3 linked regions of the Schizosaccharomyces pombe genome follow. The gene in region 3 interacts genetically with the main gene of each other region. Each region holds a gene or a part of one and is shown on either strand. Other genes may lie near its edges.

Evidence for each region. Genes that interact genetically often act in the same process or in processes that back each other up.
Region 1: of csn5 (region 3) and nep1, changing one enhances a phenotype caused by changing the other (phenotypic enhancement), as found in Schizosaccharomyces pombe (one study listed by BioGRID).
Region 2: of csn5 (region 3) and nep2, changing one enhances a phenotype caused by changing the other (phenotypic enhancement), as found in Schizosaccharomyces pombe (one study listed by BioGRID).

Annotation. Positions count from the first base shown.
Region 1 is NC_003423.3:3,302,529-3,307,072, forward strand, and holds nep1 (NEDD8 protease Nep1), read left to right. Parts: upstream 1-2,006; 5' UTR 2,007-2,308; coding exon 2,309-2,336; intron 2,337-2,416; coding exon 2,417-2,471; intron 2,472-2,545; coding exon 2,546-3,725; 3' UTR 3,726-4,025; downstream 4,026-4,544. Other genes in the region: psl1 (pho85 family cyclin), read left to right, coding at 778-1,509; synviolin family ubiquitin-protein ligase Hrd1, read right to left, coding at 4,026-4,544. UniProt on the Schizosaccharomyces pombe protein: Protease that catalyzes two essential functions in the NEDD8 pathway: processing of full-length NEDD8 to its mature form and deconjugation of NEDD8 from targeted proteins such as the pcu1, pcu2 and pcu4 cullins and other proteins.
Region 2 is NC_003423.3:1,450,831-1,456,375, forward strand, and holds nep2 (NEDD8 protease Nep2), read right to left. Parts: upstream 3,843-5,545; 5' UTR 2,605-3,842; coding exon 1,357-2,604; 3' UTR 501-1,356; downstream 1-500. Other genes in the region: SPOM_SPBC32H8.01C (uncharacterized protein), read right to left, coding at 57-106, 185-274; SPOM_SPBC32H8.15 (uncharacterized protein), read left to right, coding at 4,198-4,503. UniProt on the Schizosaccharomyces pombe protein: Protease that catalyzes two essential functions in the NEDD8 pathway: processing of full-length NEDD8 to its mature form and deconjugation of NEDD8 from targeted proteins such as the pcu1, pcu2 and pcu4 cullins and other proteins. Has a role in meiosis.
Region 3 is NC_003424.3:925,837-929,272, reverse strand, and holds csn5 (COP9/signalosome complex protease subunit Csn5), read left to right. Parts: upstream 1-1,646; 5' UTR 1,647-1,701; coding exon 1,702-1,784; intron 1,785-1,826; exon of another isoform or gene 1,827-1,891; coding exon 1,892-2,537; intron 2,538-2,601; coding exon 2,602-2,772; 3' UTR 2,773-2,879; downstream 2,880-3,436. Other genes in the region: SPOM_SPAC1687.23C (uncharacterized protein), read left to right, coding at 1-114; SPOM_SPAC1687.14C (calcium-binding protein), read left to right, coding at 830-1,060; ubiquinone biosynthesis protein Coq4, read left to right, coding at 3,028-3,151, 3,207-3,311, 3,416-3,436.

The DNA.
Region 1 (4,544 bases), on a different chromosome or scaffold from region 3:
ACTTTGGATTTATATATCTCATCATTTATACATTTGGATTATTAAGAAATTTTTGAATCCTCTCTTCCCTTATCCCTAAATAGTTAGAGAAAAACGACAAAACTCAGCTAAAACCATTAAACTTTTTCGTTTTAAATTCCAATCTCGTTGCTTTTAGGACTTGACTTTTTACATAGATGAAAATCACTATCGTAATGCTTTTGCTTTTTTTCTTTGATTTCTTTTTTTTGGCAGATTACAGCCGTCTTTCAATATAAACGCTATATTACTACAGTCTTTGTAAATATTATCTACTTGGTGCGCAGGCCAACCCGATTATATACTTTGATTTAAATCCCATTTAGCCTTAGAATTTTCGTAACAATAGCTCTGGACTCCTAGTAAAACTGTATTGCTTCCTGTATATTTGAATCATAACTCTTTTTTTTAAAAATTAATCGATTTTGAATCAACTAAACTGATTCTTGCGAATAATACGGATTTTAAATTGAGATATAAAAAGTTAATTTATTAATCCTTTTACATTCATCTATCTACTTGAATCAAGAAAAAGTACTATGAAGAAACGCTCGTGATTTAATCTGCAATGTTTACAGTCGAGTTTGTTACATTTCACTAGTGCTTCATAAAAAATTAGCGATCTAAATAAGTGCACGCAACGTTGTATTCCGGTTGACAAGAACACGCAAGATTTCGCAATAACTTAAAGTCTAGGATTGGCGTCACAGACAGTAAAGACGTATTCGTCCATTTACCAAACATTTTTATAATAGTCCTATGTCCTTGGCGTTTACGCTTTTAACCTCAAAAGATAACACAGATGAAGATGAAGAACACTTGGAGCTTTCTTCTTTTAATCAAGAAAAGCTCTTGGAAATGATATCTGTGTTTCTCTCGCGTCTAACGCGTTTGAACGATAGCAAGCAGGAAGCTACTGAATCAGATCAAATACCATTATCTCCAACAAGTTTAAAGAACCCTTGTTTGATATTTTCTGCAAAAAATGTGCCTTCCATATCTATTCAGGCTTATCTAACACGAATCTTAAAGTACTGTCCTGCAACTAACGATGTATTTTTAAGTGTTTTGATTTACCTTGACAGAATTGTTCATCATTTTCATTTCACTGTCTTTATCAACAGCTTTAATATTCATCGTTTCTTAATCGCTGGGTTTACGGCCGCAAGCAAATTTTTCAGCGATGTCTTCTATACTAACAGTCGCTATGCAAAAGTTGGTGGTATTCCCTTGCACGAATTAAATCATCTGGAGTTATCTTTTTTTGTGTTTAATGATTTCAATCTTTTTATATCTTTGGAGGACCTTCAAGCATACGGTGATCTTCTACTTTCATGGTATCGGCAAAATGGGCAGAATTACAACCCTACCGATGTTTCATGCTCTATTGAATCTCCCATTTCCCATACTCCGCAACAAAATCAACAAGATGAACAGCCACGTCGGCCCATAATGGATCGAAGGTTACTCTCTTCTCACTCAATTGGTTAAATTTACTACTGTGTTTGGTCCTCCAAATTTTTTTTTGCTTCCATCTATTTATCTTTATTTTCTGTTGAAAATATTTAATCTGATTATTTAAAACTTGGAAAAGTTACCTTGGTGCCTTTTGTCTGTATATATATATATTTCATTCTGCTGTGTCAATGTGGATACGACTAGTTTCTGAATTTTCAAGTGGCCTTTAAATTTTGTACTTGTATATGCTATTTCTCCTTTGTCTCTTATTTAATGTTTTTATCTCAAAACATGCCGTTTCATGAAATTCTCATTTATTACATTCGGATTATCTGACTTGCAATAAGGTTTTTGGAATTTGGAAATTGCATGCTACTTTTGTATTCGGTATTCTACTTTACGATGCTTACAACGCTTACGGTATATTGTGCTTTGGTTCCTTGTTTAAGTTAAGGCTGTTGTAAAGGTCCGCTATGATCAAAGTCCTTAGCTTACTCCGCTATCCCTGTTCCATTTGTTCCTTTCTCTTCACGTTGCAATTTGTTTATTTCTGCCGCCTACTCTGCAGTTGTTTTTTTTTATTTTAATTAAGCCGTCCAATCCTGTTTGTTTATTGAGCCTTACTTCTGTTTGGTATAGGAACGCTGTATTCCCGGTCTCTGGTTCCGCTTTCAATTCTCGTGATTTTTTTGTTTGTTTTAACCCGATAAAATAAACATTTTATTTTAACACTCGTGTTACTCTTCCGTTCGAGCTGTTTTGTTTGCGGACCTATTGTTTGTTTAAATTCCTTTTTTTCCCCATTTCGTACTTACTTTTAAACAATTTTTAAATGAGCAGTTCTCCAACCGTTCTTGAATGTAAGTTTACACATATATTGTGAAATCTCTGTCTAGAAGCGTTTAAGTTTGCTGAATAAAAACTAACTTGTGCTATTAAGTATTTGATGTGTGTTTTAAGCAGGAAGACGTGGATAGCTTAAAAAAGCCAAACTGGTAAGGAAATTTGGATACATGTTTTACTTTTACTTTGTGCATCTGAAATGAATCTTTCAATTAATACAAGCTAGGTTCACTGATGTGAGTATTGATTATGTTGACGAGTTAATTGAGCACCTATGGTTTCCCTCATACCCAAATCAAGCTAATGAAATTTTGCTGCTTCGCCCTTCGTTAGTTTTTCTACTAGCAGAAGCTGCTATTTCTCCTGAAGAGCTCAAAGTTGCTTTGCCTAAAAAGTTAATGAACTGCAAATATTTATTTATGCCTATCAATGATTTGGATAAACATGCGGCAGGAAGTGGAGGTTCACACTGGTCTTTAATGGTCGCAAGTATTCCTGATGGGCAATGTTACTATTATGATTCTCTCAGCAACGGAAAGACAAAAGATTGTCGCAGTGCCTTGGCCCGTGTTTCGGATCTTTTCAAAAAAAAATTTACAATAGAGTGTATGCCCGTACAACAACAAAGAAATGGATATGATTGTGGAGCACACGTTTGTGCTTTTACCCTTGAACTGGTTCGGCGTTTGTTACATTCACCGATGCCCACTAGCTCTATGTGGAATTTGTCTACATTTCAGCCAGATGTAACAGCTATTCGGGAGCAGTTGAGCCGTTGCTTAGACCATATAATTAACTCCTTGGGGACAAGGGTAAGCGGCGATTTTGACGAGGACTTTCCTACTGGCACTGTGTTTTTTGACTTAGAATCTCACCTTCCTCTTCTCGATGTTGCCCTCCCGGTTCTACCTAAATCATCCGACTCATCTGAAACATCACATGAAAGCTCTAACTCTAATTTGAAGAAGTCTTCAGAGTCAGGATCTACTAATCACCATAATAACCATGAAAGCGATAAGGACCTGCATCATGAAGGCCATCATCATCACCATCATCACCACCATCATCATCACAGTCATGACGATGACCCTTCCTCTCCTGCTGAGAAGAAACAGAATCATGTGCCTTCACCTTCTGAAAAGATACAAGATCATGTGCCTTCACCTTCTGAAAAAAAACAAGATCGTGTTCCTTCACCTTCTAACAACAAAGAAGATCATTTGCCATTACTCTCTGATGAGAAACTTGACAAATCTGCGATTGACAAAATTGAGCCTACGCCATTACCTTCTGTCCATATGAACAGTCATATAGCGAAGGGGGAGTTACCGAAATTTCATAATAGCACTGATAATCCTTTTCTCACTCCTCCGGAAGAACTTGTATCTGGTGATTTCCCTTTTTGATGCTACACTTGCGTTGTTTAGTTTCGAATATACAAACTAGCGGGAAGGCTTGTTTCAACTCAAACAATCTGAGTTTTATCCTATCTTGTGATGTGAATGGTTGTGTAATTTTTATCAGCAGTCGCTAAATCTTTTGCTGTTTACAAATATGTTATTATTATCACGAGTGCAATAATCGTTTGCTTAATTATTGATTGAAAAATGTTTATACAAGAGAAATTATTTATTTATTAGTAAATGACTTATCACTTCTTTATTTTTAGGTCGTTCATTATTATCAAAAAAGTTTGATAGTAAATTTCAAAAATTTTCATCCACAGTTTCTAATTGTACATTTCGTGAGTTTTGTCGATCTTCATCAGTTGCAAATGGGGATGTTTGATCTGAACTGGTTAAGATCGATGATTGATTGTCGTTCGTTGTAATGGAAGTCTGCGTATTCTCAAATCCTTCAGTCCCACTCATACCATTGGAATTTAATAGTGAATCAGCAGAAGTAGTTTGTATCCTTTCATTAATACCACTTGCAGCTTCTAACTGATTTAAAGATGTACGTATACTATTGTAATCAGCACGAAAGTTAGAAACCGTTTCTCGTAATTCATCAATTTTGGTATGAAGTTCACGAAGCTGAGAAGATATATTAGATGAAGCAGCGGGAAACGTATTAGACGTTTCATTCGACTGTGTTAATCCTCTACTCAATGGTACAACGTTGGGTAAAGAGGAGCCAAGATTATTATCTGCTGATGATGCGTTTTGATATAAAGATGTCATTGCTGAGTTGGTAGATAGAGATTGAGTATTGCTAGATACTAG
Region 2 (5,545 bases), on a different chromosome or scaffold from region 3:
TCCCATTAAATTATGTATCAACTCAAACCATGAAGGTTTTCACAATGATTACTTACAAATCTAATTTAGTTTTTGTTATTAATACCCATTTTGTAGGCTTGTAACACTAGAAACGATAATAGTGTATTAGAAAATGGTGCTTCATCAAGGTAATGGGCAATTTTTAATTGCTGTTGTTTCTTACAATAAAGCATGGTTTTTTATCTACTTCTGAAACTTGTCTCAATGTATAGAAATTTTCAAATTTATTGGACATCGGCATTTTCTTCAACATTACTACTTTATATTTGAGGTAAAGAAGAGAGAAGGGGTGAATCGCCTGAATTACACTCACACATCAATTTATCTAATAGACGGTTCAAGCACCACAGAATACTTAATTTATTTAATTTATAACTAAAATAAAAATAAAATACTCAATCTATTTTATTGATTTTTTTTGCAATTGCCCAAACATTGTATAGACAACTAAGCAACATGTTGACTTTTTTTGCTCAGATCAAAAAAAATAAATAAATAAATAAAGGCTTTAGTGCAACGTACACCCACATATACATATTCAATTAAAAGGCATGTTAACAAAACTTCTTATTGAAAACCTTCCTCGGACAATGAATACAACTCGTAAAGTCTATTCAGCCTATTGTAAAGGGAAGGTAAAATAAAACACTGGAAGCAATTCCAAAATTTTCTATTGATCAACTTGTTTGTTCATAAAAATTGTAGCAAGTAAAAGGTGGAAACCTAAAGATGGAAAACATTGCAAAAATCAGTGATTTAGAAATGAAACGCATAAGTAATGACAATACAAAGATAAATAAATATTTAGAAATGATAAAGAAAAGGGACAAATTCTTATCAACAATGGAAAAATGAAAAAAAAAAAGGAAAAACGAGTGACCGGATAAACCAGCAATGTACAGCAACAGCATAAGTGGAATCTTATACCCAGATACCTTTATCTAAAAGGAATAGCAAGTTAAAAAATAAGCAACATTGTGCAAGAAAATAACCAGCAAGCAACATAATAATAATAAGGAACCGAGAACCAAACACATATAATAATAATAATAAAAGACGAGCCTCCATAAATAACACACAAACATCCGTTCATACCTCATCTCTCACGACTATATGAGGATGCAAATGAACATCTAAAGATTTACAATGACAAAACTTGACTCAAAAAAATAACCATCTGAACAATCCGATAAAACTTGTATGCTTGAAACACGGAAATAGCGGCAAAAAATGGATGAAAAAAGCAATGCGATGCAATTCGATGATGAAGCAAAAAATAAATCAGACATCCAAACTTCACTTCAAAGCAAGTTGCATTTTGGGAGACAGAGGAAATTAATGAATCTCAATGGATTGTTGTGTATGTTGTATAGCTGCGGTTTCCGGTCTCGGTACGATTGAGGGTGGTCTCTGAAGTATCGAGGTTGGAAGAACAGAAGTACTAGCGGTCTTTACCTTTATTAATGATGGCCTACGAACTGGTGAGGAGTTGGGCTGTGAATCGAGCTTTGGATTTGGTTCCGAATTGGGATGTGTGAGCGGCAAAGATTCCGACCTTGATTGAGGTTGCGAACTGGGCATAGAAGCTGGCAAAGAATGCGGTTGGGCCGAATCAGAAGTAACAGCGCTTAGCGTAGGTAGCTCTAACAACTCTTCCGTCTTGCATATTTTAGAAAAGATCTTTTTATCTTTTTCAGGATCGGTATGCGTTTCTGAAGGCTTGGGTACCTTGGAGCCATAAGCAGCAAGTAAAGAAGTAATGACCTCCATTAGTGCCTTGCGAAGACGCACACTATCGACAACAGAATGGTCCAAGTTCATGTCCACTTTGGGTACATAAGGCTTTTGCAATAGACGATACATGAGGATACGAGTATTCTCGCAAACATGAAGGCCGCAATCACAATCATTAATTTGTTGTGGAGTCTTCATGTGTCGGACACGGAATTCCTTTTTAAGGAGAATGCCAAGGTTTTTGATGGCAAGGTTGCAGTCATTGGTATTACCATTGGACATGGAGTCATAGTACCAGCCCAAACCTTTTTCAACGGAGACGACTAACAAACTCCAATGCGAGCCGCTCTCGATACCACACTCATTGGTATCGTTGATAGGAAGAAAGATAAACGATGCATCAAACATGGCAGGAGGTAAGGCAGACTCGATTTCCAAAGGATTAGGAGCCTGGGCCAAAAAGAAGACCATAGCAGGACGAAGCAAGTATATTTGTTGACTCTCCTCCTTGGGACGTTTGAGCAAGACTTGACGCAACATAATTTCGTAAAAGAAATCGATGTTTGTATCAAGGATCCAATACCCAGGACGAAAGTGGTCGACGTCGTTTTTGCGAAGGGAAACCTCGAAATATTCAAGCCAGATGCGCGTAAACGGGGAACCGCAAGACTTTGATCCGCTGCTGCTGCTGCCAAACAAGGAACGGAAAAAGCCCTTTTTCTTCTTTTTGGGAGAAGCGGTATCAGAGCCATTAGAATTGGAAGAGCCGGTGGAGGGAGGACGTAAATTGCTAGACTTTTTCACAGCCTCGCTGTCGATTTCCTTTGTGAAAATGGAATTGGAGCGCATTTTTTAAAAGTGGAATATAGGACAGTGGGAGAAAGAGAAAAAGACGAATACAAGTTTTTAGAAACGCGTTTTTTACCAGGCAGGTAATAAGAAAATAAGCACTTTTTTATTTCTAAAGTGAACAATGGGAAAGAACGAGAATTGCAAATGAGAAAGGAAATAAAAGGAGAGTAAAAAATTGAATGAAAAGAAGAAAGAATTGGATAAATAAATATCGAATTCTTTTTTTTTCACAGAGTTAGGAAAAGACAGTATGAACAAATAAAAGGAAAAAGAAAATTAGAAACTAAAAGAGAAAGGTAAAAAAAAAAGGCAAAGCAAAAACAAAAGAAATAGCAAATGGAAAAACTTGTTGTTAACTGGGAAGTTTTCGAATGCAATTGGGCAAGCAAGCAATTAGGAAGCTTGAATTGAATTGGATTGGATTGGATTTGGATCGAGGATAAATGAGTTTGGAGGGATAAAAGATGATGAGATGAAACCAAGGGTTGCAACGGGAAAAAAAAGGAAAAACGATTAACGGAGAGTTGGAGCGCTAAGAAGGAAGAAAAAGGAGATAAAAAAAGCGCAAGGAAGAAATCCGAGAGAATCCAGATGGAATAGAATTGAGAGATAATTTGAGGTAGAGACGAGTCTTAAGTTGGTTACGAATAAAAGTAAAAGAAGACGACGTCGAGAGAAGGAGGAGAAAAAAAGCCTTTAAAAAAGGAGAACGTGCAAAGTAAAAAGTAAAACGGGAAAAGAAAAGCAAATCAAAAGGATGCAGGGAAAGAGAAAGAAGAAAAGAAAAAGGAGGAAAAATGCCAAAAATATGAGAAGGAAAAAACCAATAGAGAAACTTCTATAATATAAAAAAAAACAATTCAACCACCTCACCAAACAATGTGGAGAAAGAAAAAAAGAAAAACAAGGATTAGAATAAAAATGGTGAGAATGAATGTAGTAGAAATTGTATAGAGAGAGAAAGACGAACGAACAGTCAGCAGAACACACTCACACTTGTACACGCACGTACGCATACACTCGCACACTCACACACACACACACCTACAGAGAGTAGAGAAGAGAGTTAAAAAAAAAGTGTGTAGTAGTGAGAAGAGAGGAAATTAAGTGGTGAGTATTGTGTAGAGGAAAGAAGTTTTCTGAGCAATGAAAAAGCAAAAAATGATGAAAGGAGTGTTCAGAAAAGGAGCCGGCAATGACCGTCCAACACGTACTTTTGTGGTTGGCAAAAAGTTGGGGTAAAGGGCAAAAAGACAGACCCAGAATGTGGAGGTGAAGATGGAGATGGGTGGAGAAGACAGGTAACAATAATATGGAAGAATAGTCGACGGCGGGGGGAGGGGGGAGGGATGCCGAGAAGGGGAAGAATGATCAAAAGATGACACCAATATAGCGTAATCTAGTGGACTGGGGAGAGAAGAGATGAAAAGAGGGGAATAGTGAAAAAGAGGGTGGTGTGTTAAAATGAGAAAGATGAGAGAGAGAGAGAGAGAGACATATCGTCTAGTGTAAACAGAGAATAAAATCCAAGTGAAACTATAATGTGTGAAAAGGTTTTTTTAGAAAATTAATTATCAAATAATACTTTCAATGACTTTTCGATACTCAAATATCGCGCATACTCTTTTTATTTCCATCATGTGTCTCTTCTCCATCCCTCTATGTTTTTCTCTCTCTATATTTTTCTTTCTCTCATCTCACTCCTTATCGTTTGCTATCCACTGCTACGCACCGCTTTCCACTTCTTTGCATTGCGGTTGGCCACATAAAGTTGACATGCAATATTTTTTTCCTTGGTCTCGAATTCTCAGGCCGACATGGGTCGGCCGAGCTCTCCTCTCAAAAGGAGGGGTAATTGAAATGCTGGGCGGGGAAGCGGGGATGCTCGGCAAATGATATGCGGTTGTTGTTTAGTGGTAAAAAGGGGGGGGGAAAGGGAATTTTTTGGGTGGGGCGAAAACTAACAAGAATCGCAAGGAAATTTGGACATTGGAATGGAATCGGAGGTGAAAAGAGTTGAATGATGCCAGTGATAGCAAAAGTAAAAAGTAATATATGTTACTATTTGTGTCAAAAAAGATAGAATAGGCTTGGAAAACAAGACAAACATTCCAACACAACTCATCTTTCACCCACCCTTTTTTCATTTCCTTTCCTTTCATTATCAACATTAAACAATCCATTACTTCTTATCCGATTGTGACGAAATGAGGTTGTTGTTTTGTTTGTGTTCTCCCTCTCATCTCTCTTTCGATGATGTAGTTAAAAAATTAGAAAAAGAATAAAAAAAACCTAAACGTTAATCGACGGTTTAAACGAGTGAGACTGGACTTCGCTTCTTTTCTTACGCATTACCAAACTTTGATAATGGTTGCTGTAATCAATGATAGTTGGGTCATCCCCTTTCCCACCAGAATAGAGTTGATTTACCGTTTTCTACGCAGCGCTTCAAATTTCGAATTAAAATTTTTGGTTTGCCACATTATGTTTGTTGCCTGTGGACGTGGATGGGTTACTAGGGAAAATAATAAAGCAAAAACACAAACATTCGTAAAATGCGGAGTCGGTAGATTCGAGGCTTTTGCCTTAAGTTACGTTATGACGTTTAGCAAATGGATAAGGAAATGGAAATGAAGATGAAGATGGAGATGAAGCAAGATGAAGGGAGAAAGGGAGAGGGAGAGGCAAGCATGACAAGTAAAATCTCTTTCTTTTTTTCTTTTTCTTTCTTTTTTCTTTTTTCTTTTTCTTATTTTAAATAATGTAGAGTTAAGCTCTATCTTGTTTTTACTGTAAATGAGTTTGTTGTATGGTAATGAGGGATCGCTATAATGTAATAAAGTTTTGGTTTTGTGTTTCACTAATTTTTAAAGCCGTTGGTTTACTGTTTCACTCTAAATGTGTTTGACTATAACCATTGTAACATAAATAAAAATAA
Region 3 (3,436 bases):
TGTCTCAAAGGAAAAAATGGAAAAACTACGAAATCAGAGAGCGAACCAATGTCTCAGAAGCATCTCAAATATGTTAAAAAATACATAAACAAAGTAAGAATCCTTAAAAAATGAATGTGTATAAATAATGTCAAACATTCATATATAATATATAACACGAGTATTAGTATGCCACACCGCTAAAGGAGATTATGCTTGATAGCCTACATCATTAAAGCCATTTTGCAAGTCGATCTATTAACTCATCAAAAATCTTGTATTACGTGTTTTGTTATTTAAATATTGCGCACAACCTTAGCTTCGGTCAATTTATTATATTAGCTAATAACGCCTTAGTAGGTTGGCTTGGCACGTAAATAAAGTCAATTGAACACATTTTATACATAAATTTTGAGATTTCCAACTGTCTCTTCAATATCCTTGTTGATTTGGCAGTTTTAGAAAAAAAAATTCAGCTTAACGTTTTTATACCATATATTCATTAAGGTCAAGTTTCGTCCACTTTATCGCACCACGAAATTTCCATTTGTACCACCTTCAAATTGCATCAAATAGCCTGATTACTTAGTATTTAAACGCAGTTATTCCACTTTTGATTGTCTATCTGTTCATATTATTCCTCCTTGTCTTTTCGTTTGGATTTTTAACTCACTTCTAGTCTTTTTTTGATAACTGTTGAACAAATTATATCTCTTCTAGCCATCGGACGCTGATTTTCATTCCTTTCTTTTTTTTTACTGTTATTTCGTTCATTTTAGCATTTTTGGCACTATCTCATTTGTTTGCATTTGCGTTTCCTTGTTGAATAGTTTTTTAGTTTAGGGGAACCATGTCTGTCAGTACTAAACGTCTTGAAATGGATGAAGAAGCAGAAGAGGCTTTTGATCTTTTTGACGTGACACACAAAGGGTACATTGACTTTGAAGACCTTCGAAGATCTTGCGCTCAACTAGGGGAAAATTTGACTAAAGAACAGCTTCAGTTGATGCTCGATTTAGCTGGCACTAATGGTAAAGTATCGCGTGAAGAATTTGCCGAATTGTGGATTCATATATCTTGAGATTGTTTATCAATGGAGACAAACTTCATTTTATTTATGGGATTCATTCTCGCACTTTAATGACTTAATGATGATGGACTTAGTGTACTAAAAAAGATTAAACAATATTTCCTCGTGTTTTCTTTTTGTTTTCAAGCCATAGATGCCTGTTTTATATACTTGGTTGTAGGTTACAATTGATGCTAAAGATAAGTGTCACAGCCTGCTTGAACAACAATACTAGAATCTACATTCTTTCGTAAACCTTGATTTATTGATTTTTAGCATCTTCGTGTGTCTCTTTCATGATATATGTTACAAGGGATTGGCGATTGTGTAAATTCAGTGAATAGGATTTCAATGAACTAATACTATATTGTCTGTTTTCATTCATAGTAAAACAAGTTCTCAAAGATACCAGTTACCAAGCAAAATATATTGTCTTTTCGAAATTCAATAAACATACATTTTACAGGCTAGAATTCATGTTTTAAAATGCTTTTAATCAACTAATATGCTTAAGTAAATAAACGAAATTTTTATCTAAAAATATGTCTTTATAGCGAGTTTTACTTGTACTCGAAAAGTTCTCCAACATTTTTTCGTCACATACCACAAATGATTCATTTTCTGTATTTAATGACTACAATTACAAAATTGCAATGAATAATCAACTCGAAAATGTTTTTAGATTTGATGAAGAAAAAGAGAGGGCTAAAATTCGTGAATCGCCGTGGAAACATGAGTAAGTTAAGATTTCATTGGTTTTTAGCTATATTATACCAGTCTCTGAATTTTTTTCCCTACGTTAATTTATTAAAATTATAAATCCTGTAATGCTAACAATAACAGCCCAGAGTTTTTCCGTTCTGTCAAAATCTCAGCAGTAGCTTTGTTGAAAATGTTACGGCATGTATCTCAAGGCATGCCATTAGAGGTAATGGGCTATGTTCAGGGGAAGGTTGAAGGGGCCTCCTTGATTATTTTAGATTCTTTTGCGTTACCAGTTGAAGGTACTGAGACTCGTGTCAATGCACATGAAGAAGCACAAGAATACAGTGTACAATATCATACTCTTTGCAAGTCTGTTTACAGACATGAAAATGTCATAGGATGGTACCATTCACATCCTAACTATGGTTGCTGGCTTTCAGGTGTAGATGTTGAAACTCAGCGCCAAAATCAAAAATATCAGGATCCATTTGTTGCCGTTGTGTTGGACCCGAAGCGATCCTTGGAATCTCCATATGTAAACATTGGAGCATTTCGAACCTATCCTGTCGGTAATGATGGCTCTATCCGCACAAAATCTCGTCATCACCCGTCTGTCTTATTTAAAAATTTACCTTCTTCCAAAATCGAAGATGCCGGAGCCCACGCAGAAGCGTACTACAGTCTCCCTATAACTTACTTTCATTCCAAAGCTGAAAAAAAGGTTACGGAGTTTTTAAGGAATAGAAACTGGTCTAGGTCAATCACCGAGTGTTCTATTTTACAAGTAAGATTCATATTCTAATAAAGTTTCTTAACGAGTCTGCAAGTTTTTCTAACAAGCAATATAGAACAATGAATTTTTACATGACAGCGAAAAATTAATCGATCATCTTATTCATGAAACAGGGAATAATGAATTACCTGTTGCATCTGCCTACGAACAATCCAAAGCTTGTTGTAACGAATTATCTACTTTTCTGTCTCAAATTGATGTCCAAGATAAATTATTTAAAGAATGAATAAATCAACGATTCACTAATATCAGGAAACATGAGATATATAAACGTCGAATCTACTAAGTAATACAGTACAGTTTATTAATGAAAGTCATATTAATATATTTCAGTTAGTTTTTTTTTTATTACCCGTAATCTTTTTTTTTTTATTGAGTAAACATATTCGACTTTTGTAACGCCAAATTCGTAAATCTATTATATCGATGACACACCACTTTAAAAAGTATCAGCAATACTGAACTTCACATATCAGTATGTATGTTTTATCTTAATGCTCATCTTGAAATTAATAAGGTCGTAGACGTTGTAATGTCACTTTCAAAGAAGTTTTTAAAGCCTTCAGTTGCTTCCAACCAACTTCGTTTGCTTTTTACAGCAGCTGGTAAGAAATGTTTAGCTCAGCTAATGCATAAATGAGATTTTACTAAAGAAATTAGAGAGGAAGGTTAATTATCCAGGACATGTTCCTTTATCACCGCTGCAACGTATTTTTTTGGTTGCAGGATCAGCAATCATGGGATTGAAGGCACCATGGAGAGGCGGTATGAAATTTAGGTAGTAAAAACACTTCGGCAAATTCTTTTGACCTTTGCTACAGAAGTTGGTGAAAAGCTATATTTACTTTTTCTGGATTTACTAATGCTAGGAGATATGATATCTGTCCTAG